4 linked regions of the Caenorhabditis elegans genome follow. The protein of the gene in region 4 purifies or fractionates together with the protein of the main gene of each other region. This does not show direct contact. Each region holds a gene or a part of one and is shown on either strand. Other genes may lie near its edges.

Evidence for each region.
Region 1: the proteins of nol-10 (region 4) and ddx-27 fractionate together in Caenorhabditis elegans (co-fractionation; one large-scale study listed by BioGRID). This does not show direct contact.
Region 2: the proteins of nol-10 (region 4) and aatf-1 fractionate together in Caenorhabditis elegans (co-fractionation; one large-scale study listed by BioGRID). This does not show direct contact.
Region 3: the proteins of nol-10 (region 4) and Y75B8A.7 fractionate together in Caenorhabditis elegans (co-fractionation; one large-scale study listed by BioGRID). This does not show direct contact.

What each region holds. Positions count from the first base shown.
Region 1 is NC_003279.8:1,765,204-1,771,163, forward strand, and holds the start of ddx-27 (RNA helicase), read left to right. Parts: upstream 1-2,683; 5' UTR 2,684-2,738; coding exon 2,739-3,296; intron 3,297-4,661; coding exon 4,662-4,866; intron 4,867-5,960. Other genes in the region: lin-65 (uncharacterized protein), read left to right, coding at 803-826.
Region 2 is NC_003279.8:1,599,581-1,608,120, forward strand, and holds aatf-1 (Protein BFR2), read left to right. Parts: upstream 1-2,257; 5' UTR 2,258-2,259; coding exon 2,260-2,338; intron 2,339-2,384; coding exon 2,385-2,738; intron 2,739-4,900; coding exon 4,901-5,463; intron 5,464-6,796; coding exon 6,797-7,192; 3' UTR 7,193-7,266; downstream 7,267-8,540. Other genes in the region: Y73E7A.6 (Bladder cancer-associated protein), read right to left, coding at 8,338-8,482.
Region 3 is NC_003281.10:12,150,732-12,159,315, forward strand, and holds the start of Y75B8A.7 (U3 small nucleolar ribonucleoprotein MPP10), read left to right. Parts: upstream 1-2,167; 5' UTR 2,168-2,183; coding exon 2,184-2,254; intron 2,255-2,323; coding exon 2,324-2,504; intron 2,505-3,371; coding exon 3,372-3,806; intron 3,807-4,958; coding exon 4,959-5,116; intron 5,117-6,324; coding exon 6,325-6,674; intron 6,675-8,114; coding exon 8,115-8,584.
Region 4 is NC_003282.8:7,577,961-7,584,541, forward strand, and holds nol-10 (NUC153 domain-containing protein), read left to right. Parts: upstream 1-2,636; 5' UTR 2,637-2,643; coding exon 2,644-2,709; intron 2,710-2,757; coding exon 2,758-2,902; intron 2,903-3,055; coding exon 3,056-3,171; intron 3,172-3,220; coding exon 3,221-3,357; intron 3,358-3,402; coding exon 3,403-3,609; intron 3,610-3,656; coding exon 3,657-4,853; intron 4,854-5,110; coding exon 5,111-5,228; intron 5,229-5,272; coding exon 5,273-5,551; 3' UTR 5,552-5,764; downstream 5,765-6,581. Other genes in the region: F32E10.5 (Tudor domain-containing protein), read right to left, coding at 1-146, 197-403; cec-5 (Chromo domain-containing protein), read right to left, coding at 789-1,445, 1,527-1,654, 1,699-1,771, 1,816-2,029, 2,092-2,144.

The sequences.
Region 1 (5,960 bases), on a different chromosome or scaffold from region 4:
CTCATTTTTGATTAAAATTGATTTTTTAACTGAAAAATCCCTTAAAAAACGAATATTTTAGTTTTTTCACAAAAAAATGTGCAATTTATCTGAAATTTCAGCAAAAAAAATGAAAAAAAAAAATTCCGAAATTAAAAACTGATAAAAATCGATTTTTTACTTGAAAAATTCGTGAAAAATCAAACACATTTTTGCTAACCATTGAGAATATTACGATTTTGTGAAAAAAAAAACCATTAAAATTGATTTTTTATTCCTAAAAAATGCCAGAAAAATCAATTTTCAGTCAAAAATCACCGGAAAATTATCAAAATTTTGAGGTTTTCTGTGAAATTTCAAGCTGAAATTTCCATTTTTGAATAAAAAAAATGTGGCTGGATTTAAAAAAAAACCATTAAAATTGATTTTTTAACTGAAAAATCCGTATTTCTCTGAAATTTCAGGCAAAAAATGTCATTTCCGAAATTAAAAATTGCGACAAAATCAAATAAAATTGATCAAATTTGCAAAAAAAAAAAAACTTTCGCAAAAAATCCTTAAAATTTACATTTTTCAACAAAAACTCGAATTTTCAGTCAAAAATTCGTCTGAAAATGCTCCAAAATATGGGATTTTTTGAAATTTTAGCTAAAAATTGAGAATTGCACGGTATTTAGAGAGGGAAAAATTCCATAAAAATCGATATTTTCCTCTTTAAAATCTCGAAAAAAATCATCAATTTTCATTCAAAAATCCCCCCCGGAAAATTGTCAAAATTTTGAGATTTTTCTGAAATTTCACGCAAAAATTTTCATTTTTTCAGCCCACCTTCATCACTCTCGAATGATCGATCTCTTCACGTCAAATGCACTTTTTTCTGGATTTTTTTGTTAAAAAATTTGAAATTCTCGTGTTTTTTCTTCTGAAAAATTGCTTTTTTTGATTTTTTCTGTAATTTTTTTTTTGTTGATTTTCTTAATTTTTTTAATTTTCAAAAAATCTTTTTCATCTCTTTCTCTCTCTCTCTGAATCTCAATTTTTTCCTGAATTTCCCCGTTTTTTTCTGATAATTTTCAATATTTCTCTGAATTTTTCTATTCCCCCCGTTGTAATGCCAAAATATGTGGTAATTTCTCCCCATTTTTTCGCTTTATTACTATTTATTCTATTCAATTGGTGCCTCTCTCAATGTGTTGTATGAAAAACACTGTTTTATGGAGGTTTTGGAGAATTTTGAATTTTTTCGTCGTGATTTTTATTGGTTTTCTTTACCAATTCAATTTTTTTTTTAATTCGAAAATTTGTAGAAATTCACTTTTGTAGCTTAAAAAATTAAAAATTGAGAAAATTTGTTCAAAAATGGCAAAGTTTTCGAAATTTTAGTCTAAAAAAAGATTTTTTTAATATAGAATTTTAAAAAATTAGCACAGAAAAATGCCGAAAAATTCGTAATTTTTCATTTAAAAATGAAAAAAAAAAAAAACAAAAAAAAAAAAAAAAAAGAGGGAAAAATCCCATTAAAAGTAGTTTTTTGACTGCAAAATCGTCTGGAAATTAACAAAATTTAAAAAAATCTTTTTTACAGCCCATCGTTTCCAAAAACCAAATAAAATGCCAAAAAAAAATTTTTATGCAAAAATTCTGGATTTTTTTCCGATTTTTTCAAAAAATTCCCCCTTCTAAAAAAAATGGTGAATTTGTTCCCAAAAACCCAAAATTTGAGATTTTCTAAAATTTTGGCAAAAATTAAGAATTTCACGGTTTTGAGAGGGAAAAACTCCATTAAAATTGATGATTTTATGACTAAAAATTCCTAAAAAATCAATTTTCAGTCAAAAATTAAATTTTTTGAAATTCTAGCTAAACATTAAGAAATTCACGGTTTTGCGAGGAAAATCTATTTAAATCGATATTTTTTGACTGAAAAATCCCTGAAAAATCAAAAATTTTTGGCTAAAAATTGAGAATATTTTTTGTTTTAAAAAAATCATTGAAATTGATTTTTTTGTTTTAAAATTTCCATAAAAATCGCGGAGAAGTCAATTTTCAGTCATAAATCTTCTGAAAATTATCCAAACAATGGGATTTTCTGAAATTTTAGCTTGAAAATTGAGAATTTCCCGGTTTTGTCATGGAAATTCCATTACAATCGATATTTTTTGACAGAAAAATTGCTCTGGAAATTAACAAAAACCAAATAAAATGTCAATTTTTTTTAAATCCAAAAATTGTTGGATTTTTTCAGAAAAAAATATTTTTTCAATTGACTGGTGTCCAAAAAATATAGAAAATTCAAATTTTCCAAGAAAAATAGCCAAAAAAATGTAATTTTTGTCTAACAAAAAAATTGAATAGCGCAAAATTAAATTGTCGTTTTTTTTAAATTTCCCGGTTTTGAAAGGAACAAATTCCATAAAAATCGAAATTTTTTGACTGAAAAATCCGTGAAAACTAGAATTTTGAGTCAAAAATCCTCTGAAAATGCTCCAAAATATGAGATTTTCTGAAATTTTAGCTAAAAATTGAGAAATTCACGGTTTTTTCAGAGAAATTCCATTACAATCGATATTTTTCAAGTGAAAAATCCTCTGGAAATCAACAAAAACCCAATAAAATGCCCTAATTTTTTTAATCCAAAAAAATCTGGATTTTTTCAAAAAAAATTCCCTCCCCCACTAAAAAAATCGTATTTCCCAATTTTCAGAGCCAAAAAAAAAATGGTGAATTTGTTCCCAAAAACCGTCGAATCCGACGAAGAAATGGAAATCGACGAGTCGGACGACGAGCAAGTCCAAGACGAGGCAGTAACCGTCAGAAAGAAGAAGAAAATGGCGAATGCCGCCGAAGAATTTGCTCAGGATTTCATTTTTGAGTCAGGCGACACCCAATTTATCGATCGAGAAACCGAGGATCTTCAGAAATATCTGAAAAAGCAGACGCCAACGTCACTGGACGAGAAAATCGCCGAAATGAGAAAGTTGAAGAATACGGGAAAAGCTGTAATTGTTGAGGATGAAGCTGAAGCTGCTGAAGCCGAGGAGAAAGATGAAGAAGAGGATGATGTTCAACAATTGGGTGGAAAAGAGACACGAGATACTGTACGAGAGAAGAGAAAAAGTGGAAAATCAAAGAAATCCCAGGAAAATGAGGATTTCTTTTCGGCGCTGATTGATGGAAAAAGTCTCGACACGAGTGTTAATGTATCATTTGAACAAATGAATTTGAGCCGACAGATTTTGAAGGCGTGCTCCGGCGCTGGATATTCGGATCCGACGCCTATTCAACAGGCGTGTATTCCGGTCGCACTTACTGGAAAGGTGAATTGCTGTTTTGCGGAGAATTTTTTTTTTTGGAAATTTTCTGACAAAAAGTAGAGGTGGAGTAGTGAAATGTCTGGGAAATATTTTTATTTGACTCCAAATTATTATTTTGAAAAAAATTTAGGCAAAAAAGGATTGAAAAATCTTAAAATTAATGTTTTGGTTTATTTTTTGCCAAAAATCAATTTTAGTTTTTTTTTTACCTTTGGGAAAAATTGAAAAATTCAACATTAATGAAAAACTGGAAAGATGCCCGAAAAATCGTTTTTTTTTCCAAAAAAAAAATTTAAAAAGAGAAAAAATTGAAGAACATTCAAATTTTCCAAAAAAAATATATATTCTTCCGAAAAAAAAATTTTCACAAAAAAAAATACCAAAAACGGATATGTATATTGAAGGAACCAGAAATTTTTCGTTCTCAAAAAAATTTGCTTCCTTTTCAAAAAAAAAAACACAAAAAGCCAATGATTAACATTTTTGTCAGGACTAAATTTTTAAAAAATTCTTCAGCAAAAAATCAACTTTCACTTAAGGTAATGTTTCTATCATTTTTGCGAAAAAAAAAACAATTCTCGTGAAAAAAATTATTTTTTCTGAAAAAATAACCAGATTGGGGTTTTTTTTATTAGACTGCTGTCCAAAAAAAAATTGAAATTTTCAAAAAAAAAACAACAGGCGTGTATTCCGGTGGCACTTACTGGAAAGGTACTGCAATCTTGCGGAAAATTTTTTTTTGGAATTTTTCTGACAAGAATTAAAGGTGGAGTACCGAAATTTGAACCTTTGCTTTTTCCGACCCGAAATGGTCCAAAACTACCGAATTTCATAATGAGACTTCACGAAAAATTTCCAAAAATTTTTTATGGCCGGTCATAATTTCGAAAAAAAAGAGCCAAATTTTGCTAAAATCTGAAATTTCGCAAACTTTTCTTTGTCATAGCCGCTGGTTTTTAGTTTTTCTGAAATTATCACCTTTTAATCTTTATTTTGGTAATTTATATCACGGAAATTCGATGATTGAGACAACTTTTAGGCTGATAGGCATCCAAAAATATAAATTACCAAAATAAGGATAAAAAGGTGATAATTTCAGAAAAGTTAAAATCCAGCAGCTGTGACAAAGAAAAGTGTGCGAAATTTCAGATTTTAGCAAAATTTGGCTCTTTTTTTTTGAAATTTTGACAAGCCATAAAAAATTTTTGGAAATTTTTTGTGAAGTTTCATTATGAAATTCGGTGTTTTCAGACAATTTTAAGTCTAATAAAGCAATTTAAAAAATTCGACTACACCTCCTTTAAAAAAAAAGGACATTTAGTGATTTTTTTTTTCTTCAAAAATTGATCTAAAACTGTTCAATTTCAGGACATTTGCGCCTGTGCAGCGACTGGAACCGGAAAAACCGCCGCCTTCGTTCTTCCAATTCTCGAACGTATGATTTATCGTCCGAAAGGTGCCAGTTGTACACGTGTACTCGTTTTGGTACCAACTCGTGAACTGGCAATTCAAGTATTCCAAGTTTTCCGAAAATTATCGACGTTCATTCAATTGGAAGTTTGTCTGTGTGCAGGTTAGTTGGAGAATGCGATGATTTTTTGGGAAATTTTGGGAAGAAAAAGCCAAAATTTACAGTGTAAAAAATTGGAATTTTTAAAAAATTTAATATTAAGTTTGAATTTTCGGAGCAAAAGCTGCGAATATTGTTAAAAATCTGAAAAAATCTAAAAAATATGATTTTTTGAATAAAATTTTTCAAAAAATTAAAAAATTGCTGAAAAAGCAATTTTTTTGTGAAAAAATCAGAAAAATACTAATTTTATTATAAAAATATTAATTTCACCGGAAATTTTCCAATTTTTGAGAAAATCTGAAAAATAAAAATTTTTGGATTTTTTGGAACATTTATGAAAAAATCAAAAAAAACCAATTTTTTTTCAAAAAATAAATAGGAGATATATCATCAAAAAATCAATTTTTTCAAAAAAAAACTGATATTTTTTGTCGGATTTATCTCGAAAAAATTAAATTTTCCGGAAATTTTGGCATTTTCTAGACAGAAAAATCCGAAAAAATTGGATAAAATTTATCAAAAAAATTGAAAAAATAGCTGAAAAAAGCAATTTTTTTCGTTAAAAAATCGGAAAAATAGAAAATTTATTTTAAAAATTAATTTTTTTCAACAAAAAACGGCCCTTTTTTGTAAAATCGGATTTATCTCGTAGAAATTTAAATTTTCCGGAAATTTTGGCATTTTTTGGAGAAAAATCTGTAAATATTGTTTAAAATCTGAAAAATAAAATTTTTTGGATAAAATTTACCAAAAAAAAAATCAATTTTCAAATTTTTCCAAAGAAAAACTGATATTCTTTGTGTAAAATCGGATTTATCTCGTAAAAATCTAAAATTTCCGGAAATTTTGGCGTTTTTAGACAAAAAAAATCTGAAAAATTGGATAAAATTTATCAAAAAAATTGAAAAAATAGCTGAAAAAAGCAATTTTTTTGTAAAAATCGGAAAAATACTAATTTTATAACAAACAATTGAATTTCACCGGAATTTTTTAATTTTTGAAAAAAAAGAAGAAAAACGGCTCTTTTTTTGTAAAATCGGATTTATCTCGAAAAAATTAAATTTTCCGGAAATTTTGGCATTTTTTAGACAGAA
Region 2 (8,540 bases), on a different chromosome or scaffold from region 4:
CAATACTAATTTTCAGAAGATCTCCGAGGGACAATACTAATAGGGAGTGCAAGTCTAATAGGGAGGCCATATTAATAGAAGATATACGGTAATCATGGGGCTCTGGCCTTTCTCGTTACATTTTCGCGCTCCATCGACAATCGCCCGCCGGACAACGCGTGGGAAAGCCGTGTACTCCGCACGGACAACTACATTCAGTTTTACAACTTAAATCGAGCCGCGACGCGACACGCAACGCGCCGTAAATCTACTGAGCCAAAATGGCCTAGTTCTGCAAAAACTCTTCCATTTCAATTTATGAGAGAAGCCAGAAATCCGAATCGCGACTAATGTATTACAAAACTAGAAAATACAAAATAAACTCGGGCCGCCAAACATAATTTTCAAAAGAAAGAAATTTTCAATTTCCCGGCAAAACGTTATTTCTGAGAAAATTTGAACTTATGTTTGATCAATGTTTCCTTGTTTCAAAATTTCAGAAACTTTATTTTTTTTAAAAAGTTATATGTTATTGTTTTTTAGGCGCAGAATTCCCTGACTGAATTTACATGGTGAAAGCGTGATGACGTCACAGTTTTCTGTATTAAAAATTCCCGCATTTTTTGAAGATCAAACACTAATGGGGCATCCTGACACCACATGTTAAAATACCCAGAATAGTCTCACAAGTTGATCACAATGTACTAGCAGTTTGATCAGCTACATCTCGACTGTGAAAGAAAATAGGAAAATAGTTTTTGCTGGTAACGTGTTCCTCATTTTTAGCTTTACAAGTTTTCTGTTGATCGTTTTTTTTTCATATTCCATTTATCCTGCCATTTGCTATAAAATAATGAACGAGGACAAAGATTTTTTTACATATTTCAAGAGTCTATACATTTTCAACGGGAAAAATTTTTGATTCCTATTCCTCAGAAAGTTTTTACCAGGATTTTATTAGCTCAAATAAATTTGAATTGAATTTTATTTTAGTAACTGAAAAAGTAAAGTTAACCAGCACAGCAATAATACACCAAAAGTAATTTCATAGAAAATTAATAATTTTAATTATTTGTAATTGGAACTGAAACGGAATTTGAGAAGTGGAACAATGTTCGAGGATCCGTCGGAAATCTATCATGCCATACGAGAAAATACATGGCAAAGTTTTCAATGAGAATAGTTGCTAATAGACCATCACTTCTTTCGATATCACGTCCATATGAGCAATCCACGAATTCAAGATCATCGCTGAAATAAATTTAATAAAAGCTAAATTCATTTCGACTCATTGCCACTTATATAGGTAGCTCACATCGCTAATAATCTCAGGATTCTAACAGGATCTAACAAAAAGTTAATATTTGGAAAAGGGTGTAATAAAACTCACCAGAATATTCTTGCTCGACGTTTCGGATTCCATTTGGAATATGGTAAGCCATACAATAAGTCGCCCGCCCAATGATGCCACCAATAGTTCAATTGAAGTCTTCTCAGGTTTGGTAGGTTCCCGTCTAACCAATAACGAATGTACTTATTGATTTCTCTTGCCTTGATTGTATTGAGATCATAAAATCTCATCTTCTCGCAATTCATCATTTTCAAATCGTCCAGTGTTAATCCTGGGCTTTTTTCGAAATCCAAACGTGGAATATTGACCAACTTAAATTTTAGTATTCTAGTTCTTAACAATTATCTTTTCAACTTACCAGTTTTATATCAATCTTGGTTCTGCGTAGAGAGCGAGTCAGGAATCCATATTTCAAATTAAAATTCTTCAATATAAATTTCATATCCTCTGTGGTAATGTACGATCCTTCTCCTAGAAACTTGAGGAAATGGCATTTCCGGAACAAAGGGTGGCTCAAAGCGGACTGATATGATAATCTGAAAATGTCTCCAATTATCTGAAATTTTATGAAAATATGCTGAAACATCTGAACTTTTGTCTTAAATTGTCTTAAATTGTACAATCATTTCACAAATTCCAAGCTGGAAAATCTAATTTTCTTGTTTTTTTTTTCGCACAGAAAATCCAATTTTATTTTATTTTGCACTAAACAACACGCACTACGACACTCCGTTATCCCGCTTGAAAATTATTTAATTTATTTTATTTTATTTTATTTTATTCGAAAAAAACTCAATTTCCACTCATTTTCCGAGATTTTTTCCGTGTTTTAATGCTAAAAATGCACTTTTTGACATTAAAACCGTCTAACACAGCTTTATTGTGCCCTAAAAGTCGGGAAAATCCATAAAATCAAGTTTTTTTCAGAAATGGGTTTGTTAGATGACATTTCGAAGCTAACAACGCCCGCAACAGAGCTGCCAGACTTGGAGGATGATAATTTTGAAGGTTATCTAGTTTTTCAGGCGAAAAATTAACAAAAAAAATGTTTCAGACTCGCAGTCCGCGCTAAAATCCCTAAAATCCACCGGAAACCGCCAAAAAGCCGCTCAAAATTTCAATTTCGAGGAGGGAAAGTACGCGGGAAGTGCTGTTTCAAGAAAAGAGCTTTTCGGTGATATTTCTGAAATTTCCGGCTTACAAGGGAACTTTGACAAGTCGGAGAGCGAGGAAGACGAGGACGAGGAGGAAAAAATCGATAATTTCGATGAATCTGAGCCAGAAATTGAAGATGAGGAGGAAAATGAGGATTTAGAAGACGAGGAAGATGAAAATCCTGAAGAAATTGATACAAATATGGGAATGACTACTCTTTCGCTGAAAGATGAGGAGGATAAAGCCGATAAAGGTTAATAAAGCCTCTGAAATGGGAAAAATTTGCGAAAAAAGCATTTTTTGGCGAATTTCCCGGTTTTTTCTGTATTTTTAACATTAAAATTGCGAAAATTGACCGATTTTCCGAGGAAAATTGATTTTTTTTTTCAGAAAAAATAGGCTTAAAATCTCAGATTTCACCCGCAAAATCACAAAAAACTCAAATTTCCACACAAAAAGTCGTGAAATTCCAGATTTACTCAAAAAATCGCCAAAACTTTGAGTTTTAATTCAAAAAAACCTAGAAAGGAGCAAATTCCGTTAAAAAAAATCGGGAAAATTGCCAATTTTCCACAGAAAAATCAAACTAATCTCCTAATTTTTGAAAAATCCCAAAAAACTTTAAATTTTCTTCAAGAAATCGCTGAAAAAGTCATATTTTTCTCTGAAGCATTGCGAAAATCTTGAAATTAATAAAAAAAATAATTGAAAATTCCCAAAAATCTTCAAATTTTCCATTAAAAACCAACCAAAAAAAATCTAATTTTCCCGAAAATCACCAGATGTTCATTTAAAAACATTGCAATTTAAAAAAAATCGCCAAAAAAATAATTTTTTACGGAAAAATTCCACAAATCGTCCAATTTTCCATAAAATAACCACACAAAAAAAAAATCTAAAGTCCCAAAATTTCAGATTTCAGTCGAAAAATCTGAAAAATTCAGCATTTTCAAATGCGAAACCCAGGAAAATTTCAAAAATCTTGATATTTTATATTTTATATTAAAAAGCGGTTTTTTTTTCCGAAAAAGTCGGTTTTAAATATAAAATATTAAGATTTTTGAAGTTTTCCTATGTTTCGCATTTGAAAATGCTGAATTTTTCAGATTTTTCGACTTAAATCTGAAATTTTGGGACTTTAGATTTTTTTTTGTGTGGTTATTTTATGGAAAATTGGACGATTTGTGGAATTTTTCCGTTAAAATTATTTTTTTGGCGATTCTTCTAAAATTGCAATGTTTTTAAATGAACATCTGGTGATTTTCGGGAAAATTAGATTTTTTTTTGGTGGTTTTTAATGGAAAATTTGAACATTTTTGGGAATTTCCGATTATTTTTTATTAATTTCAAGATTTTCGCAATGTTTCAGAAAAAATGTGACTTTTTAGCGATTTCTTGAAGAAAATTTCCAGTTTTTTGAGAAATTTTTCGGGATTTTTCAAAAAAAATTGTTTGTACAATTTTAGGACTTTTCGTGTGAAAATTTGAGTTTTTTGTAATTTTTCGGGTAATATTTGAGATTTTAAGACGTTTTAGTGAAGATAATTTCAGATTTTTCTGAAAAAATCCGATATTTTGATTGAAAATTGGGAAAAAGTATAGTTTTTAAAATTAAAATTGCGAAAATTGACCGATTTTCCGAGGAAAAATGACTTTTTTCAGTCAAAATATCGGATTTTTTCAGAAAAATCTGCAATTATCTTCACAAAAACGTCTTTAAATCTCAGATATCACCCGCAAAATCACGAAAAGCTTCAAGTTTTGCTCTAAAAAATCACAAAAAACTCAAATTTCCACACAAAAAGTCGTAAAATTCCAGATTTACTCAGAAAATCTCCAAATTTTTGAGTTTTTATTTTAAAAAAACCATATTTTATGAAATTTTTATATTTTATTTGGAAAAAAAACGAAAAAATCTAAAAGTTTGGAGCAAAAATTCCGTTAAAAAATCGGAAAATTGGCAATTCTTTAAAAAAAAATCACATTAAATCATTTAAAAAGTTACAAAATTTTTTATTTTTATTTTTTTAATGCACAAAAAATTGAAAAAAAAAACCTTCAAGAATCTTAGAAATGTGGAAAAATTGAAAAAAAAATCCCAGAAAACTTGAAATTTTCTTACGGAAATTGAGAAAATTTTAAAATAAAAAAAAATTATCGGAAATTCTCAATTATCTTCAAATTTTCCATTACAAATCAAACATGCTAAAATAAATCGCCGAAAAAAAAATTAATTTCAACGGAAAAATTCCATAAATCTTCAAATTTTCTATTAAAAATCAAAAAAAAAAAAAAAAGAAAACCCATGCTAAAAAATTTTAAAAATCTTAATATTTTATACTTAAAAACTGCTTTTTTTTTCGGAAAACTGCAGCTTTTCCCTAAAAATTCCCAAAAAAAATTCCATTTTTTCAGCCGCCAGTGTCCGAAATCAGCGTCTCGTATGGGATGATCTACTCTATTCGAATATCCGGCTCCACGCGTTGCTCAACACAGCCAATCAGCTGCCACGTGGAGAAGCTCGAAAAAATCTGCTCAAAACCAGCGAAGAGCACACACAAAAATCGATGGAATCGGCCATGGAAAATATGGGAAAATTACGGAATTTAATGAAAAACGCGATGGAATTGATTGGTGAAGGGAAGGGAAAAGCCGCCGGAGAAGATGAAGAAGATGATGATGATGTAGAGGAAATTCCAAGTGATGAGGAGATTCTCAGTGATTTTGAAGACGATGAAGAAGAGCCGGCGGAAGAGCTCGAAATTCCGGGAAAATCACGGAAAATTGGTGGAGGATCTACCAGTGTGAAAAGCCTCGCAAAAAATCTGCAAAAAATCGATGAAAAAATGGAGAAATTCCGAGCAACAACACTCACGAAATGGTACAATCGAACTAAGATTCTCAACACGCCGAAATCTATGAATAATACGGATTTTTCGGTTTTTGAAAAGGGCAGCATTCTTGGACAGATTAATAAGGTAGAAAATTGTGGCGGAAAAGCGTTGGATTTCTGCTTAAAAATCGGTTTTTTTAACCATAATATCTAGTTTTTTGGCTGAAAAATCGAAATTTTTGCATTTGGGACAACAAAAAAAAACGGCTGGATTCCGAAAATCGAATTTCGAATATTTTTTTTGGCAGATTTTCCCCCAAAAAATCTAATTTTTTGGCTAATTTTTCAATTTTGGCTGATTTTTGGCTGAAAAAATCGATTTTTTTTCTCGCAAATTTCACGGAAAAATCGCACAAAAAACCTTTTGCTGGTTTTTCCTCAAAAATTCGAATTTCCAAGCAAATTCTATTGTAAACCCCGGTTTTTTCTTAATTTTTCATTGAAAATCGTAAATTAAAAATTTTTTAAATTGAAATTCCAAAATTTCCCGCAAAAATCGCACAATTCTGAAAATTCTGAAAATTTATTTGAAAAATTCGTGTATTTTTTGCCAATTTTCTACGAAAAAACAACCATAAAATTTCCGGTTTTTCACAACAAAAACCCTACTTTTTTCCAGAAATTAAAAAATTTTCAAACATTTCCATATCGTGCGCCTTTAAAATAACGGAAATCGCGGCGAGACCCATTCCATGCACCTTTAAAGTAGCACCACCCAGCGTTGGATTTCTGCTTTAAAATCGGTTTTTTACCATAATATCTAGTTTTTTGGCTGAAAAATCGATTTTTTCGCAAATTTCACGAAAAAAATCGCACAAAAATGTTTTTTTTGCTCATTTTTTCCTCAAAAATCCGAATTTCCAGGCAATTTCCATTAAAAACCCCGTTTTTTGCCGCAAAATTCTTAATTTTTCACTAAAAATCGTAAGCTTAAAATTTTTTAAATTGAAATTCCAAAATTTCCCGCAAAAATCGCTCCGGCAATTTGCTGATTTGCCGGAAATTTTCAATTCCGGCATTTTGCCGATTTGCCGGAAATTTTTAATTCCGCCAATTTGCCGATTTGCCGGAAATTTTCAATTCCGGCATTTTGCCGATTTGCCGGAAATTTTTAATTCCGCCAATTTGCCGATGTGCCGAAAATTTTCAATTCCGGCAAATTGCCGATTTGCCGAAAATTTTCAATTCCGCCAATTTGCCGATTTGCCGCTTTGCCTTTCTGAAAAAAACGTGTTTTAGTTGTGAAAAATTGGAAATTTTATAAATTTTTCCGTGGAAATCTCTGAAAATCATTGCGAGACCCATTACATGCGCCTTTAAAGTAGCGAAAATCGCGGCGAGACCAATAATTTACGAATTTAAACCTAAAATCGCGGTGAGACCCATTTTTTCATCTTAAAAAAATTGAAATTTTGCAGGTTCTCGCCGACGAGGAGAAGCTGCTCAAAAAAGTGCGCACAAATCGAAGCGGAAAACCGCGAATCGGCGGCAAATCCGACTCTCCGGAATCCCTGGACCCCGAGACGTTCGACGATTCGGATTTCTATCAAATTCTGCTCAAACAAATGCTCGAAGCACGAAACCAGATGAGCAACAACTCTCAAGACGGAGCAGACATGACGAGAAGCTATATGGAGTTACAGACAATGTTCAGTAACAAGAAAAAACGAGATGTCTCGCAACTTTCGTCAAAAGATCGCCGCTTGAAGTACGAGCCAATCGCCCGGCTCATCAATTTCTATCCATCGAAGCCGTCGGTCGTCACTTGGAGCCATGAGAGCCGGAATGAGCTCTTTAAGTCGTTGTTTTCCTGATTTTTTTGGAGCATTTTTTTTTTAATTTTTAAATTTTTGGTTTTTTTTTGTTACTTGTTATAAGATTTTTTTGATTTGTTTAATAGAATATCACAGATTTGGAGCAAAATTTCGAAAATTTTGGTTTTTTTAATATTGAAAATATCGAATTTTTAGTTTTTTTTTTGAAAAATTGAAAAATTTTAATTTTTTGAAAATCGAAAAATTAAAATTCTTGATTTTTTGATATTTTCAAAAAAAAAACGATGAAAAATCGGAAATTTTCAATTTTTTAACAAAAAAGAAATTTGACAACTTTTTGAAAATTGGAAAATTTCAATTTTCCGATTTTCAAAAAGTGCTCAATTTTTTTCGATTAAAAAAATTGAAAATTTCCGAAATTTTTTTTTTGAAATCTACAAAAAATTATAATTTTTTGAAAATCGGAAAATAAAATTTCTCGACAATTTTTACTTTTTCGCTTTAGAAAAAAAAAAAGAAATTTCAATAGTTTTTAAAATTTTTTTGAAAACACGAAAAATTACGGAAATGTTTGATATTTGAAAAAATTTCAAATTTTCAATCTTTTGGAAATATCGAAAATTTTCGATTTTTTAAAAATATAATTAATTTAAAAGTTAAATTTTTTTTGAAAACGAAAATTTAGGATAAGTTCCGAAAAATCTATAATTTTTAGTTTTCAGTTGTTTTTTTTTTAAATTTTGAAAAAATCTAAATTTTAATTAAATTTTTTTTTGTAAATATCTGAAATTTTCGATTTTTTTTATCGAAAAAAAATTAAAAACTTTTTGAAAATTGGAAAATTTAAATTTTCCGATTTTTTTAAATACTGAAACATCGAAAAATTACGGAAATTTTTGATATTTGAAAAAATTTTAAAAATAAAATCGAAATTTTTTTGTTTTTAGCAAAAAGAAATTTCAATATTTTTTGAAATTTTTCTTCATATTTTTCTAAAAAAAAATAATATCACATTTAGTTTTTTGGGGAGATTTGGTACAAAATTTGTGTAGAAACTGGGATTTTTTGGGGTGAAAAATGGATAAAAATAGAGGAAAAACTAGAGAGAGAGGGAACGCCCGTAACAAATCGGAAGATATTCAGAGAAATGGAGAGAAAAAAAAATATGTGTAGATTTAGGATATTTAGAGACGATCACGGAAGACGTAGGTGCACACTTCTCCGTTGAGCTTCTTGGTACACGTTGGCCAGAATATGCAGCTATCGGGGTCCGAATAGCAGAGAAGTGAGAGGGCGATGAAGAAGATTCCAGAGCAAATGTGACATGGCCTGGAAAATTTGGAATTTGAGGGATTTTGGAGATTTTTCTGGCGATTTTGAGCTAAAA
Region 3 (8,584 bases), on a different chromosome or scaffold from region 4:
TACCGAACGAACCCAAATTTGACCGGTTAGGAAATTTTCAATCAAAAAATTTCTTAATAGAAAAGATCGAGAATTTTTTTGCGATCATTTTTCATATGCATCGCAAAATCAAATTTGGGGTTAGTTTTCGAGATAGCAGCCAATATAGTTTTCAGACTGAGTATCATGAACCAATCCATCTAGTTTCTGTGCTACCGTGCCGTCCTCATTGAATTTTTTTCGCGCTCCATTGACAATCGCTCTCCGGACATGGGAAAGTCGTGTACTCCACACGGACAAGTGCATTTAGTTTTACAATCGAGCCGCGACGCGACACGCAACGCGCCGTAAATCTACCCCCAGATATGGCCTGGCCTAGTTCGGCAAAAACTCTTCCATTTCAATTTCTGAGGGAAGCCAGACACATCCGTGAATTTTTGACCATATCCACGTTTTTCTTGTCAAATAACAATAGCATATTCAACAGGACAATTGACAATTGAATTGAGATATGAGAAACAAGAAAAAGTAATTTGACTCCTGACTTCTTCTTCTTCTTTTTCATAGAGTGGATGGTGGATAGTGACATACAAACAGGGCACACAGTTTCGTGTTGACACTCTCTCTCTCTCTGGACAGAACAATATAAGACACGAACATGAAAAGGAAGATGAACAATGTTCCTGCAAAAAAAAGTTGAAGCTTGGAAGAGTTGGAGAAATTTTCACCAAATCAGCAATTGCCGGAAATGAAAATTTCGGGCAAATCGGCAAATTGCCAGGATTGAAAATTTCCATCAAATCGGCAATTGCTGAAAATGAAAAATTTGGGCAAGTTGACAAATCGGCAAATTGCCGGAATTGAAAATTTCCGGAAAATTGGCAAATCGGCAAATTGCCGCAATTGAAAATTTCCGCTAAATTGGCAAATTGCCGGAATTGAAAATTTTCCGGCATATCGGTGAATCGCCAAATTGCCGGAATTGAAAATTTCCGGAAAATTGGCAAATCGGCAAATCGCCGGAATTGAAAATTTCCGCCAAATTGGCAAACTGCCGGAATTGAAAATTTTCCGGCATATCGGCGAATCGCCAAATTGCCGGAATTGAAAATTTCCGGTAAATTGGCGGAGTTGAAAATTTCCAGCCAATTGGCAATTTCCGAAAATTAAAATTTCCGGCAAATCGGCACATTGCCAGAATTGAAAATTTCCGGCAAATTGGCAATTGCCGAAAATTAAAATTTCGGGCAAATCGCAAATTGCCCGGAATTAAAAATTGCATTTTGCCGATTTGCCGAAAAAACGACAATTGCAGAAAATTGTGGTTTTGACATTTTTGGAAATTTCAGAATTTCAACATTATTTGTTTTAAGTGGATCCGTCTTTTTAAAAGTCTCTTTAAAAACTTTCGCAAACGGCAAATCGGCAATTTGTCGAAAATGGAAATTTTCGGCAATTTTGCTCGTTTATTACATGTTTAATCCTAAATTTCGGTATATTTTCAGTCGCTGGGAACACAAATTTCATAAAATTTCGCTTTATTTTGTGTTAAAAACTAAATTTTCTCAGAAAAATTCACATTTTAAAGGAAATTCTTCAATTTGAACTTCCCGCTATTTTTATACTGTCTGTTTTATCAACAGGGCGCGTTTGCACTTTTCAACTTCTGGCTTTTTTCGCCTTTTTTAATCCATTTTTTCACATTTATTGATCGAAAATCTTGCGGATAAAGGCTATTTTTTCAAGATTAAATTAATAAAAATTTGAAATTACTTAAATTGAATCCTAAAATCTGTGAAAATCCCAAAATAATACTCTCAAATCGGAGCCAAGCCGTCAATACATAGAAAAAATCCAAAAAACCTTAAAACTGCTGATTTTTCCACTTTTTTCTACAATTTTCCGACACTTTTATAGGTTTTCCATGCCCTAAGTACAAATATGAACGGGATTATTCGTTTTTCTCCCCTCTCTGGCACTCTTGTCGTCTCTCGCCCTCTCACTTACCCCCGCTGTCTCGTTTTCCCATTTCTCGGTGAAATTTTGAACCAATTTTTTGGTTTTTACACTTATTTTGACGATTTTTCCAGTATTTTCGTGTAAAAATTGAGATTTCTCGTGTTTTTAACGTTATTTTATGTGGTTTTAAGTTGTAAAACTTTTTTTTGGGAATTTATCGATTTTTAAGGTAATTCGCTGCAAAAATGACGAAATCAAAGTCAAAAAAGGAGGATTTGATCCCGGAAATCGGGGATTTCACAAAGTTTTTCAAAAGGTTGGCATAATTAATCGAAAAAAATATAGAAAAAAAATTTAAAAAATCAATAAAATGTTGATTTTTCAGTCGATCAAAATTTTCCGACCAAATAACCGATGTTATTTCGAATGTCTACGAATGGTCGACATCACTGGAACCTTCAGAAGACAATCTTCCACTTCCATTTGTTTCGAAAAACGAAGAAGTCGTTTGGAGTTATCTGAAGCATCAGAATAAGCAATTAGATGGAATTAATAAGAAATATAAGGTGCTTATTCGCGGGATTTTGCTCGAAAAATCCTAAAATAATCTTAAATTCCGAAAAAACACAGAAGAAAATCGAAAAAATCGATTTTTAAAGTTCTATTTTTCAATTTTGGCGAAATTCCCTCCAATTCCCTCCAAAATGAAGAACGACCAATCAGCGATTAGCACCGCCCACTTTTGAACCAATAAGAGGAAAGGGGCGGAGTTCGAAGGTGCTGATTGTTCAGTACAAAAAACGGAGGAAAAACGAAAAAAAATCGATTTTTTTTTCGAATTTTGGTTAAATTCCGTTTCCGACCAATCAACGATTCGCTCCGTCCATTTTTGAACCAATCAGATGAAGTGGGCGGAGCTCAAAGACGCTGATTGGTCGTGCAGTCCTTATTTTAAAGGGAATTCAACAAAATTTTAAAAAATCGATTTTTAAAACGTGATTTTTCAATTTTGGTTAAATTCCGTCTTCGACCAATCAGCGATTCGCTCCGCCCACTTTTGAACCAATCAAATGAAGTGGGCGGAGTTTGAAGGCGCTGATTGGTCGGGCAATTCTTATTTTGGAGGGAATTCAAACAAGTTTGAAAAAAATTGCGTTTTTAAATTTCAAACTAAATTTTCGGGATTTTTGAAAAAAATTTCTAAAAATCCCGAAAAAAATGTCCTAAAAAATTTCTAAAAATTCCACAATTTTCAAAAAATCTAGAAATTTTTAGCAATTTCCGAAAAATTTCTAAATTTCCAAAAATATTGAACTTTTTTTGAAAATTTTTGAAAAAAATCGAGTTTTTTTTTCTGAATTTCAGGCTATTTTTTGGAGTTTTTTTTCACTTTTTTTTTCCTCAAAATTGCTTGAAAATGCTCCGAATTTCAGGGATTTCTTTCCGAGTTGATTGGAAAATCGCATATTCGGGTGGCGGCGAAAATTCAGGATTCTGAAGGTTCGGAAGATGGTTCTGATGGCTCCGATGGCGGCTCCGAAGAGGAGCTCGATGATGATGAGGAAGAGCTGGAAGATGAAGAGCTCGAGGATGAAATGATTGACGATGAGGATGAAGCCGATCTTTTTAATTTAAGCGAGAGTGATCTGAAGACGTTGGACGCTGATTTGAAGAAAATGGAAGAAGAAGAAGCCGGAGAAGAGAAAGAGGAGGTGGAAAAAGCCACAGAACAACCGAAAAAATTCAAGAAATCCATTGTGGACGATCAGTTTTTCAATCTTGACGAGATGCACGATTTTTTGCAAAAAACTGAGAGAGCTGGAGGCAAAAAGGCCGCTCAGGATGAGGAAATGATGTTTGAGGATGAAGTATGTACCTGGATGGCTGAAAATCTGCAAAATTTGGATTTTTATGAGCCGAAAAGTGCCAAAAAGTGCCCAAAAACAATTTTAAAAATACACACTTTTTTCCACAAAAAGTGCGCGAAGAAATTGCAAACTCCGCCCCCCTTTTTCCCGGCCAGAATTCGTAATTTCGAAATTAGAGTGCAATCGCGCTCCAACGCCAACACAACACAAGTATTGCCGGAATTGTTAAATTTTCGGCAAATTGGTAAATTGCCGGAATCGATAATTTCCGGCAAATCGGCAAATTGCCGGAATCGATAATTTCCGGCAAATCGGCATAATTGGAAATTTCCAGCAAATTGGCAATTGCCGAAAATGAAAATTTTGGCCAAATCGGCAAATTGCCAGAATTGGAAAGTTCCGGCAAATTGTCAAGTTGCCGGAATTGTTAAATATCCGGCAAACCGGTAAATTGCCGGAATTGAAATTTCCAGCAAATCGACAAATTGCCGGAATTTTAAAATTTCCGGCAAATTGGCAACTTGCCGGAATTGAAAATTTCCAGCAAATCGGCATATTGCCTGATTTGTGAAATTTCCGCCAATTTGCCGAAAATGAAAATTTTGGGCAAATCGGCAAATTGCCAGAATTGAAAAGTTCCGGCAAATTGTCAAATTGCCGGAATTGTTAAATATCCGGCAAACCGGTAAATTGCCGGAATTGAAATTTCCAGCAAATCGGCAAATTGCCGGAATTGCAAAATGTCCGGTAAATCGTAAATTGCCAGAATTGAAAAGTTCCGGCATATCGACAAATCGCCGGAATTGTTAAATATCCGGCAAACCGGTAAATTGGCGGAATTGTGAAATTTCCGCCAATTTGCCGAAAATGAAAATTTTGGGCAAATCGGCAAATTGCCAGAATTGAAAAGTTCCGGCAAATCGGCAAATTGTGGTTTTGCACAATTTTTTGTTGTTGGAAACTTCATATTTTCTTGTTCCAAACGAGACCCAATAGGCCAATTAGCGATGGAGCGCGATTGCACCTCAGTTTTCAAAAACCGCCTCGCTGCCATAATATATTAATCTCGATGAAAATTCCCTAAGAAAATGTGTGTGTGTGTGTGTTTTTTTCAAAATTTCAATTAAAAAAAAAAAAAAATAATAATTTCAGGATAGCTGGGACGGAAAAACCGACTACACGTATGAGGACTTTTTTGGATCTCGTGAGACAGTTGCTGAAACCGAAAAAATGAATGGAGAGAAGAAAAAAATTGAAAAAGATAAGAAACGGAAGGCTGGAGATAAAGCTGATTTATCACTTGATGATGGGTTTGTAGTTTGTAGTTTGGAGGAATTGGAGAAAAAAACGGAAAACCACAGAAAAAAACGAGAAAATCCCCCAACCAATCAGCGTCTTCAACTCCGCCCACTCCACCTGATTGGTTGGAAAGTGGGCGGAGCGAATCGCTGATTGGTCGCGGTCTCATTTTGAAAAAAATTCGGCCAAAATATTGAAAATCTGCGTTTTTTAGTTTTCAAAAAATGTAGAAATTCAGCAATTTCCGAAAATATTTAGAAATTTCTAAATTTTTGGAAATTTGAAATTTTTTTTTCACTTTTTTTTCGCCAAAATTGATGGATTTTTCATTATTTTGCGATTTTTTTTTTCGTTTTTCTCCAAAAATACTGTAAAAATGTAGAAAATCACTAAATTTATCCGAAAAATCACGTTTATTTCAGCTGAAAAAATCAAAAAATATTTTTCGAATTTTCTAGCTGAAATAAATGTAATTTTCCGGATAAATTTAGTGATTTTCTACAATTTGACACTATTTTTCAATGAAAATCGTTGGAAGCACATGGTGCAACATGACAAAATTGTAAAATTGCCGAAAATAAGTGAAAAAAATTTAAAAATCCCAATTTTCAATCTTTTTTCTAGGAACGCCGAAAAAATTGCGAAAAAAGTTGCAAAACGCGATGTTTTGAATTCCCTCCAAATGAGAACTCATCGACCAATCAGCGACTCGCTCCGCCCATCTCTGGACCAATCAGACGAAGTGGGCGGAGTTCGACGACACTGATTGGCCGGGGAGTTTTCATTTTGGGGGAATCCAAACAAAAGTGAAAAAATCGATTTTTAAAAACGTGATTTTTCCAATTTTGATCAAATTCCGTCTGCGACCAATCAGCGATTTGTTCCGCCCTTTTTTGCACCAATCAGGGTGTGTGGGAGGAGTTTGAAGGAGCTGATTGGTCGAAATGCTAATTTTGCGAATTTTTCGCAAAACTCGGAAAAATCCAACTTTCTGAAACTACGACCAATCAGCGATTTGCTCCGCCCACTTTTGCACCAATCAGGGTGTGTGGGCGGAGTTTGAAGGCGCTGATTGGTCGGGGAGTTTTCATTTTGGGGGGAATTTGAAATTTTAAAATCCAAATTTAAAAAATCGCCTTTTTTGTGATTTTTCCGAATTTAGGACTATTTTTTAATAAATTTTTAAAGCGAAAAATTCAATTCAAAAATGTTCTTCCAGAAAGAACAAAAAACGCGTTCGTTTCGCAATGGATGAGGAACCTGAAGAAGAAGAAGTTGAAGACGAGGAGCAAGAAGACATTAATGATGAAGAAGAGCCCCCAGAGGATGAGCCAGTGCTCCTCGGAGCCGACCTCGAAGAGCCGAAGGAAGAATCGGCGTTTGCCAAGCGTCAGTCCAAGATGAAGGAACGAATCGCTAAGCTTGAGGAGGAGAATTTGGCTCCAAAATCGTGGGAGCTCTCCGGAGAGGTTGCCGCCGATCAGAGAGATCAGAATACCCTGCTGGAGAAGCATGTGGATTTTGATCATGGAGCAAAACGTGCTCCAGAGGTTACCGAAGAGTTTACAGGTACGCTGATGATGGCTGGAAATTGGAAATTTTAGAAGAAAAACTATGGGAAAAGCGAAAAAAATCGGGAAAATCTCACTTTTTGAAACTGCGACCAATCAGCGATTAGCTCAGCCCATTTTTGGACCAATCAGATGGAGTGGGCGGAGTTTGAAGGTGATGATTGGTCGGGGAGTTGTCATTTTGCGATTTTTTATCAAAAAAAATCGGGAAAATCCAACTTTTGAAACTGCGACCAATCAGCGATTAGCTCCGCCCATTTTTGGACCAATCAGATGGAGTGGGCGGAGTTTGAAGGTGCTGATTGGTCGGGGAGTTGTCATTTTGCGATTTTTTATCAAAAAAATCGAAAAAATCCAACTTTTGAAACTGCGACCAATCAGCGATTTGCTCCGCCCATTTTTGGCCCAATCAGATGGAGTGGGCGGAGTTTGAAGGTGCTGATTGGTCGGGGAGTTCGAAAATTGAAAAATCACGATTTTTTTCTTTTCAAAGTTTTGAATAAAACAATTTTTTCGGCAGGAAATTAGTTTTTTGAAAAGTTGCAAAAATTTTATAAACAAATTTATTAAAATTGTATTAAAATTAACACAGAAAAAGAGGCGGAGCCTAATTTCGCAACCTTGCCGCACGGTTTTTCCTCTTTCTTTTTGTTGGTTTTTTTCCAATGAAGTTTCGATTTTACTTGTTTTATTTTCTTTCGAAAAACGAAAATAAAACAATTAAATTCAAAAATTGATTTAAAAAATGAAAACCGTGCCACAGGGTTGCGAAATTAGGCTCCGCCTATTTTCTGTGCGACAATGCTGCTTTTTGTAAAATTTACGAATGGAAATCGCCAAATTTCAACCATAAAATAGGCAAAGAGAGCCTCCGTAACACGGAAAAATTGGCGAAATTTGAGATTTGAAACCGTCGCACAGAAAAAGAGGCGGAGCCTAATTTCGCAACCTTGCCGCACGGTTTTTCCTCCTTTTTTGACCGGTGTTAATTTTAATATCCTCATAATAGCATTTTCATTCGAAAAAGAAAATAACATAATTAAATTCAAAAATTGATTTAAAAAAATTAAAACCGTGCCGCAGGGTTGCAAAATTAGGGGCTTCGCCTATTTTTCTGTGCGATGCTGATTCACGACGGATTGCTCGTAAAATTTCAACCATAAAATATGCAAAAAATAGTATTTTTTTCGCAAATTTCGAGGCTTTAGCTTAAAAATGCCGTTTTTTTTTTCAAATTTTAAGACGAAAACTGCCTCTTTTTCTGTGCGATGCGCAAAATTTTATTTTTTTCTAAATTTCAAATATAAAATAGGCAAAAAATAGCTGATATGACATGGAAAAATTGGAAATTTTCGAGATTTTAGCTTAAAAATTCCGTTTTTTTTTTTTTTTTTTTAATTTCAGCCATAAAATAGGCAAAAATAGAGTTTTTTTCCAGACCGCCTCGAGTCACTTATCAAGCAACGAATTCGTGATAAAGCCTGGGATGATGTGATTCGAGTGAAAAAAGTCGAAGCGAAAGGCGCCAAATTCGAAACTGAAGCCATCGAGAATCAAATGAATCAGAAAACTTCCTTGGCTGAGGTTTATGAGAAGGAATATCAAAATTCGACTGGAAATTCTGCAGATGGAGCAGCAGGAGCCACGAAGCCGAATGAAGCTCATGAAGCTATAAAATCGAAGATGGGAGATCTCTTCCGGCTAATTGATGCGCTAACTCATTTCGAGTATAAACCGGATCAAGCTCGCGAGGAGGTGAAAGTGGTCTCAAATATGGCTGCTCTACGTGTGGAAGAAGTCGGAATTACAGCTTCAACGGAGGCTCAGCTTATGGCTCCAGAGGAGATTTCGAAGAAGATGAAGGCGATTGAAAAGAGCAAGGATGAGAGAGACGCGACTGATAAGGCA
Region 4 (6,581 bases):
AGATCCGCATCTTGATGTCTAAAAACCTGTTGCAATTTCTCGGTAAGATTTTCCTTGATTCTGTCGAATCTTTTCGGCTGAAGACCAATGTCAGTTGGCATGCTATGCTCCACAATTCTATAGTATTCGCATGGATACAAGTCAATCTGGAAATCAATTAACCTGTTATTGATTCAAATTATCTAATTAACAGTACCGGAATATTTTCAACATTTCCATATTCACTGTTCAATTGTTCTGCTATGTTTAAAACGTATCCTGGAATTGTCACTCCTTCAGAATATTTCCACAAAAATTGTGGATATTTCTCAATATATTGGCGAATTTGATAATCATGTCCTGAAGGAACTTCAATCAACTCTCGACACTCATTTTCTTGAGCATCTTTCTGCAGCTGTGCCATTCTGTCCTCCCAATTCATCTGAAATTAATCAAATGTGATAAAAGCAGGGGTTTTAATTAAAATCTGTAACTTTATACAACGGATAAATGGATGTACTGCTACTGCACAACCTCAATCAAACGATCAAAGTTTACGTTAAAGAGATCTTCTTCATTGGTGAATATTATATGTTAACAACAGATAATTGAAGACAGCATGATTAAAATAAAACATTAGAATCGGAATACATTGAGATTTTGAGAAACTCAAATGCATTTGTAAAGACAGTGTGGGGGATTAAATGAGCAGAACGAAAAGAATTAAGAGATTTTGAGTGAAAATGTGGAACGTTACAGAATGGGGAAAAATAAAATAAAATATTTAAAACGGTCGTTGAAATATTTGCCTAATGTCTAGACTTTCTCTTTCCGTTGGACGATGCTTCTTCTTCTTCTTCTTCACCCTCGCTGCCACTTCCACTAGTATTGTCTTGATCTTCTTCTTCATTTCCTGAATCTTCAGCAACACGTTTGCTTGATTTGGCCTTTTCCTGTTTCTTGCTCGATTTAGGTGCTTCTTTCTCATCTTCCTCATCCTCGTCTTCCTCGTCGGAGGTTTCAGCGCGTTTCGACTTCTTTGGACTCTTCGAAGACTTCGACTTTTTTGGAGTCTTAACAACCTCTTCTTCTACTTCGTCTTCTTCCTCAGGAGTCTCAGCACGCTTCGATTTCTTCGTCTTCTTCGGAGTCTTAACAACCTCTTCTTCTTCGTCGTCTTCTTCCTCAGGAGTCTCAGCACGCTTCGATTTCTTCGACTTCTTTGTAGCAACAGGCTCCTCTTCTTCATCATCATCAGAAGCAGCTCTCTTTGTGGATTTCGAGGATTTCTTTGGAGATTTCTCTTTGACTTCCTCTTCTTCCTCTTCGTCGGAAGAGTCATCATCCTTCGATTTAGCGGACTTTTTCGGCGATTTCTTGCTTCCCTTCTTCTTGTTAGACTTCTTGACCGGTGGTGGTTTCATGTCATGAGAATCTTTGTAGGCTTCAAGAAGATCTTTGCAGTTCTGAAATAGTAAGGTTACGCAAAATTTTAGTTATAATAATGTTGCAGAGTATTCTAAACTTCATCAACTAGTTGAACTCACCGACAACTCATTCTCCCACATCTCCGAGTGAGACACCGGGTTTGGGTATCCACGCCACATGACCAAAAACAGTGGCTTGTTCTTCTTTCCGCTGAAGCGGTGAGCAATGATTTTCTCGACAGCAAAATCTGAAAATTGAACGTGGGAATTTTATACAATCAAAATGAGCTACCCTCATCTGGATCATCATCTTGGTTGGTGATCTTATACTTGTAATCGGCCAATAGTTTCTGCTCCTTTTTGCCCTGAAAGTGTAAATGTATAAGCGCCCGTGGAAATCTTTAAAAACCTCAAAATCGAACTCAGTGGCCATCATTTTCCTGCCATTTGAAAGGAGGACATTATATTCAACGTAGTGCGTGTTGAATAGTTTGTGATCAAGAATCTTCTTGACTGAAGCGTCCTGAGAAGAGCTCTTCGAGTCTCCAGATTTAGACGATTTGCTACGCTTTGCCCGGTGTTTCGTGGCATCGTGCACAACCTGGAAGTGAGTGGTTTGCTTTCTGAAAAATAAATATTGTAGATCATTTATTAGAACGAAAAATTCGAATAAAAAAAAACGAACCCTGATCTTCCAGAAGCACGAGATGGTGCACTACCGGATGATTTCTTTGCCATTTCGAAACCTGGAATATTTTATATCAATGATCAGTCAATTACGAGAAGAAAGCGAAAAATAACAATACTTTTGAAGCATAGAAAAATAAACACCTATTTATGATAGACATATAAATTAAGAAACTAGTTTATAAACTAGAGATAGCATGTAAATTAAGGAAATATGAAATTTGTGTTGGAGAACGTTCAAATTCAAATCGGCGCGCACGCGACGCAGAACAGCAGCGTCGCGGCCACTCAATGACTATACATAAATGGGAGACACAGGCATTCGTTGCACCGCCAACCACCATTCATGCGCCAGTACAATTCGAATAGCTTGCATGGAGTGAAAGAGAGTATACGTATGAAGGAGACGAAATAATAACTACAACAATCCGTTATTTCGCAGTCGCGCGTTCTTTAATTTAATTATTTTCTCAATTATTTTTTTCCATTTTCAGTTGAAATTATAAATATTGACTATTTATCACTCAGAAATTGTTTTTTCAGAACAGAAATGGAAGTTTCAACGGTCAACGATGTTAAAATTTATAACTTGAGCGCTGGAAAAAGCCTACCAGAGGTATAACCATATAGAAATAGCAGATATTAAAACAATTTTATTTTTCAGTGGATGTCATCCCGCACTAGAAGAAAATTGGAACAAAGAAACACCGATGTTCGTCAGAGGATTCAGCTCATTCAAGATTTCGAAATGCCCGATGTCAGTAACACAGTGAACATCACTCCAGATGGCAAATATGTGTGGGCTTCAGGTATAATTTAAACGAACCAGTAAACTATTTAAAACGCGAGGAATTATAATAATAAGCTCTGTAAATGAATTTAAAAAATTGAAAATGAGAAAAAATATATTTGTATTCAAAATCAGTTAGAAAGCTTCTGTAAATATTTGCCGTGTTTTAAAGGAAACTACAAACCTTGGCTGAGATGCTACGATTTGAACAATCTATCATTAAAATTCGAAAGAGGACTCGATGCAGATGTCATTAAACTTATCCCACTGAGCGACGACTACTCGAAGGTATGTATTGGTTGCTATGGAAATGATATTCAGCTTGCACATGTTGCAGGTAGTAATATTAGAAGAAGAACGATGGATTGAAATGCATGCGATGCTTGGAAGATATTTCCGAATGCGAATGCCATGCCAAGGACGAGACATGGCACTTTCAGAAGAATCAAGTGATTTGTATCTCGTTGGATCGAAGTAGTTTCAATATTTAAAATGTTCTAAGCTAAAAGCAAATTTCAGAAGCGAAGTTTACCGTTTCAATCTCGAGCAAGGATGTTGGCTGACTCCATTCGAATCGACTGCTCCTCTGAACTGCGTTCAAGTTTGTACTGAACATCAATTAATTTGCTGTGGTACCACAAACGGTGTCGTTGAGGCATGGGATCACAGAGACAAATCTTTATGTGGTACCTTAGATGCAGGTTCTTCTGTTAATAGCCATATCGGGTAAGAATTGATCTTCTATAATGAGTATCAAAACATCTTTTTTTCAGTGAAAATCAAAAAGTGGCCGTCACGTCTGTTGCATTTTCTGATCCTTTACACATTGGAGTGGGTACAAGTACAGGCCAAATCCTTATTTACGATTTGCGTGCTCGTCGACCTCTTCTTATCAAGGACCACAATAACGAATTACCAATCAATAAACTAGATTTTATCAAAAGAGACGATGGGGATGTCGTTGCTTCTATGGATTCTAGAATGATGAAGCTATGGCATGAAGAAGATGGTTCACCTATGGCTGCTATCGAGAATACATGCCCATTAAACGACTTCTGCCGGTTCCCAAATTCAGGAATGTTCTTCTTCGCAAACGAAGCTCCAAAAATGCTCCAGTACTTTATTCCACAACTTGGCCCTGCTCCAAAATGGTGTTCTTATTTGGAAAATCTTACAGAAGAGATGGAGGAAACAGAAACTACAGTCTACGATAACTATCGTTTCGTTACCAAGAAACAACTTGATGATCTTGGGCTTTCGGGACTAATCGGAACAAATGTTCTTCGAGCATACATGCATGGATATTTCATTGATGCTCGTCTATACAACAAAGCTCAAACACAAATGCAACCATTTGCTTATGAAAAGTACAAGGATGAGAAGATCAAGTCAATGATTGCTGATGAACGTGAAGAGTCTGCAGTTAAAAAGAAGGTGGAAAAGTTGCCAGCAGTGAATAAGGCTCTCGCAGCTAGACTCCGTGATGAAGCATCAGCTGCTAATCAGAAGGCGGAAACCAAGAAAGAGAAAAAGAAGAGCAAGAAATCAGATGCCGCAACTTCTCTTCTTGCTGATGATCGTTTCAAGAAATTGTTCGAGTCTGAAGATTTCGAAGTTGATGAAACAAGTGAGCAATTCCTGAAGAATGCATCAATTGCACAAAAAATGAAAGCAAAAGGACCTGTTGAAGTGGAATCGGAAGGTGAAGAATCTGAAGACAATGATGCATCCGACTCTGAAAATGAAGCAAGTGGTAGTGATAGTGAACCGAAAGGATCTGCATCATGGATGGTTGAGGAAAATCGTGAAGTAGATATGGCTTCGGATTTGGAAAGTGCTTCAAGTGATGAAGATATAGACCAATCGTTGAAAGCAAAACGAGCCAAAGTTCGCGCCGCTAAAAAATCTGAACGAAACATTCAAAAATCGCAGAAATACGACGAACGGAAAGAGGCGAAGAAGATTAGGAAGTTAGTTTTTTCAACATTTTTCCAAATTAAAGATGAAAATGTTCCATTTGGGTTTGAATACGAAAAATATGATCATTCGACATAGTTTTCTTCTCTCAGAAATTAACAAAAACATTTTTAACATTCAAAAATAACCTTTTAAAATTACATAAAAATATTTTTAACACCTACTAACCTCAGTTACACTGAAATTGAATGTGCCATTCGTCTAAAAATTTTCCAAAAAATATAAATAAATATTCTTTCTTGATTTTCAGAGAACAGCGACAGTTATCGAAACCTTCCAAATTCGTACTTCATTCAATTGGAACCGGCGAGACGACTAGAAAGTTTGTTGACGAAACTGTCGCGGTCAGAGATGATGCTGACAACAAGGTGTTTTTTATTTATTAAAATTATGACTATTCATTTATTTTTAGGACTCGATGGCTCTCGGTGCCCGTAAAAGAGCAACTGCGAGAAGTGATAGAAAGACTAAGAAGGTCAACGATGATGATGTACCCTTCGGAGGTCGCGAGATGACATTCACGATTTCGAAACGTGATAAGGATCTTCGTGCAGAAGCTGCAAAGACGAAACAAGCAGCTCATGCAGCTGAACGAAAAGAAGTGAGCCGACGCCCGAATGCTCTGGTCACAAAAGGACTGAAAAAACTTCCTGGAAACGTAAACGTTGGAAAACGCCAGAATACATTCTAAAACTAGAACCCTTTAGATTTAAATTGTTGATTTTATTTTTCAAATCTTGTTTTTTATCAACCAGTTCTCTTTTTCCATATTTTTTTATTATTCTCATATTTACTCTTGTTGTTAGTTTCTTTTTGTTGTTGTTGTTATCTATCCCATCCAGCTTTTGTTTGCCATTTTTGTTCGAAGCTTTTTTTTTCTGAATAAAAAAGAACAGCGACTAAAATTTAAGACATGACTCGAAACATGATATCGTATTCGCGACAGGATCCGTTTTCTCGCAAAATGATGATGTGACAGATATGGACGATTGGTGCAGATTTTGACTTCTGGTGTCTTTTCATGGATGGGAAATTCTGTATTCTCATTGAACGTACTCGAAGACTGGAAAAATCGAAAATAAAACGAAGTGGGCAATCAATCAAAAACGAGGGAGCAGTTCCGAAGAAAATGAATGCTTTTTCCGAGTGAAATTGGCAGAAGAAATGTTGAAAGCTTTTTTGTCAAAATACGTAGTATTCTATATTAAACATATTATATGTTTATATTAACTGTTTATTGTACTTTTGTAGCTTTATTAAAGATGTATAGATCGATTCAATTGGGTCTCGCCGCGAAAAATGTAAAGGATTTTCTCACAGCGACTTTTGAAAAATTTGAAAAATCATCTAAGTAGGCGTTTCAGGAAATATGATATTACAATGTGGGTACATACATTACAGCCACTGTACCGTAATCTACCGTACCCCAAACATTTTCTATTCGGTTGCCGTGAGTTCCCGAGCATGTGATTGAAAAATTAGGTGTACACAATCACAAGCAACAAGACATTATTCAGTTTTAAGTTGAGAAATTCATATTACATAGACGTCAAAAATGAGTCTTTTTGACAAATCGTACGTACAAAGGTCTCACCACGCGAATAACGAATTACTGTAACTCGTGCCAATTAACGGGCGTTATTTGACACGAGTTACAGTAACTTGTTGTCCGCTTTCTTTTTTCGTTTTTTATCTTGATAATTTTGCAATACATGCAATTA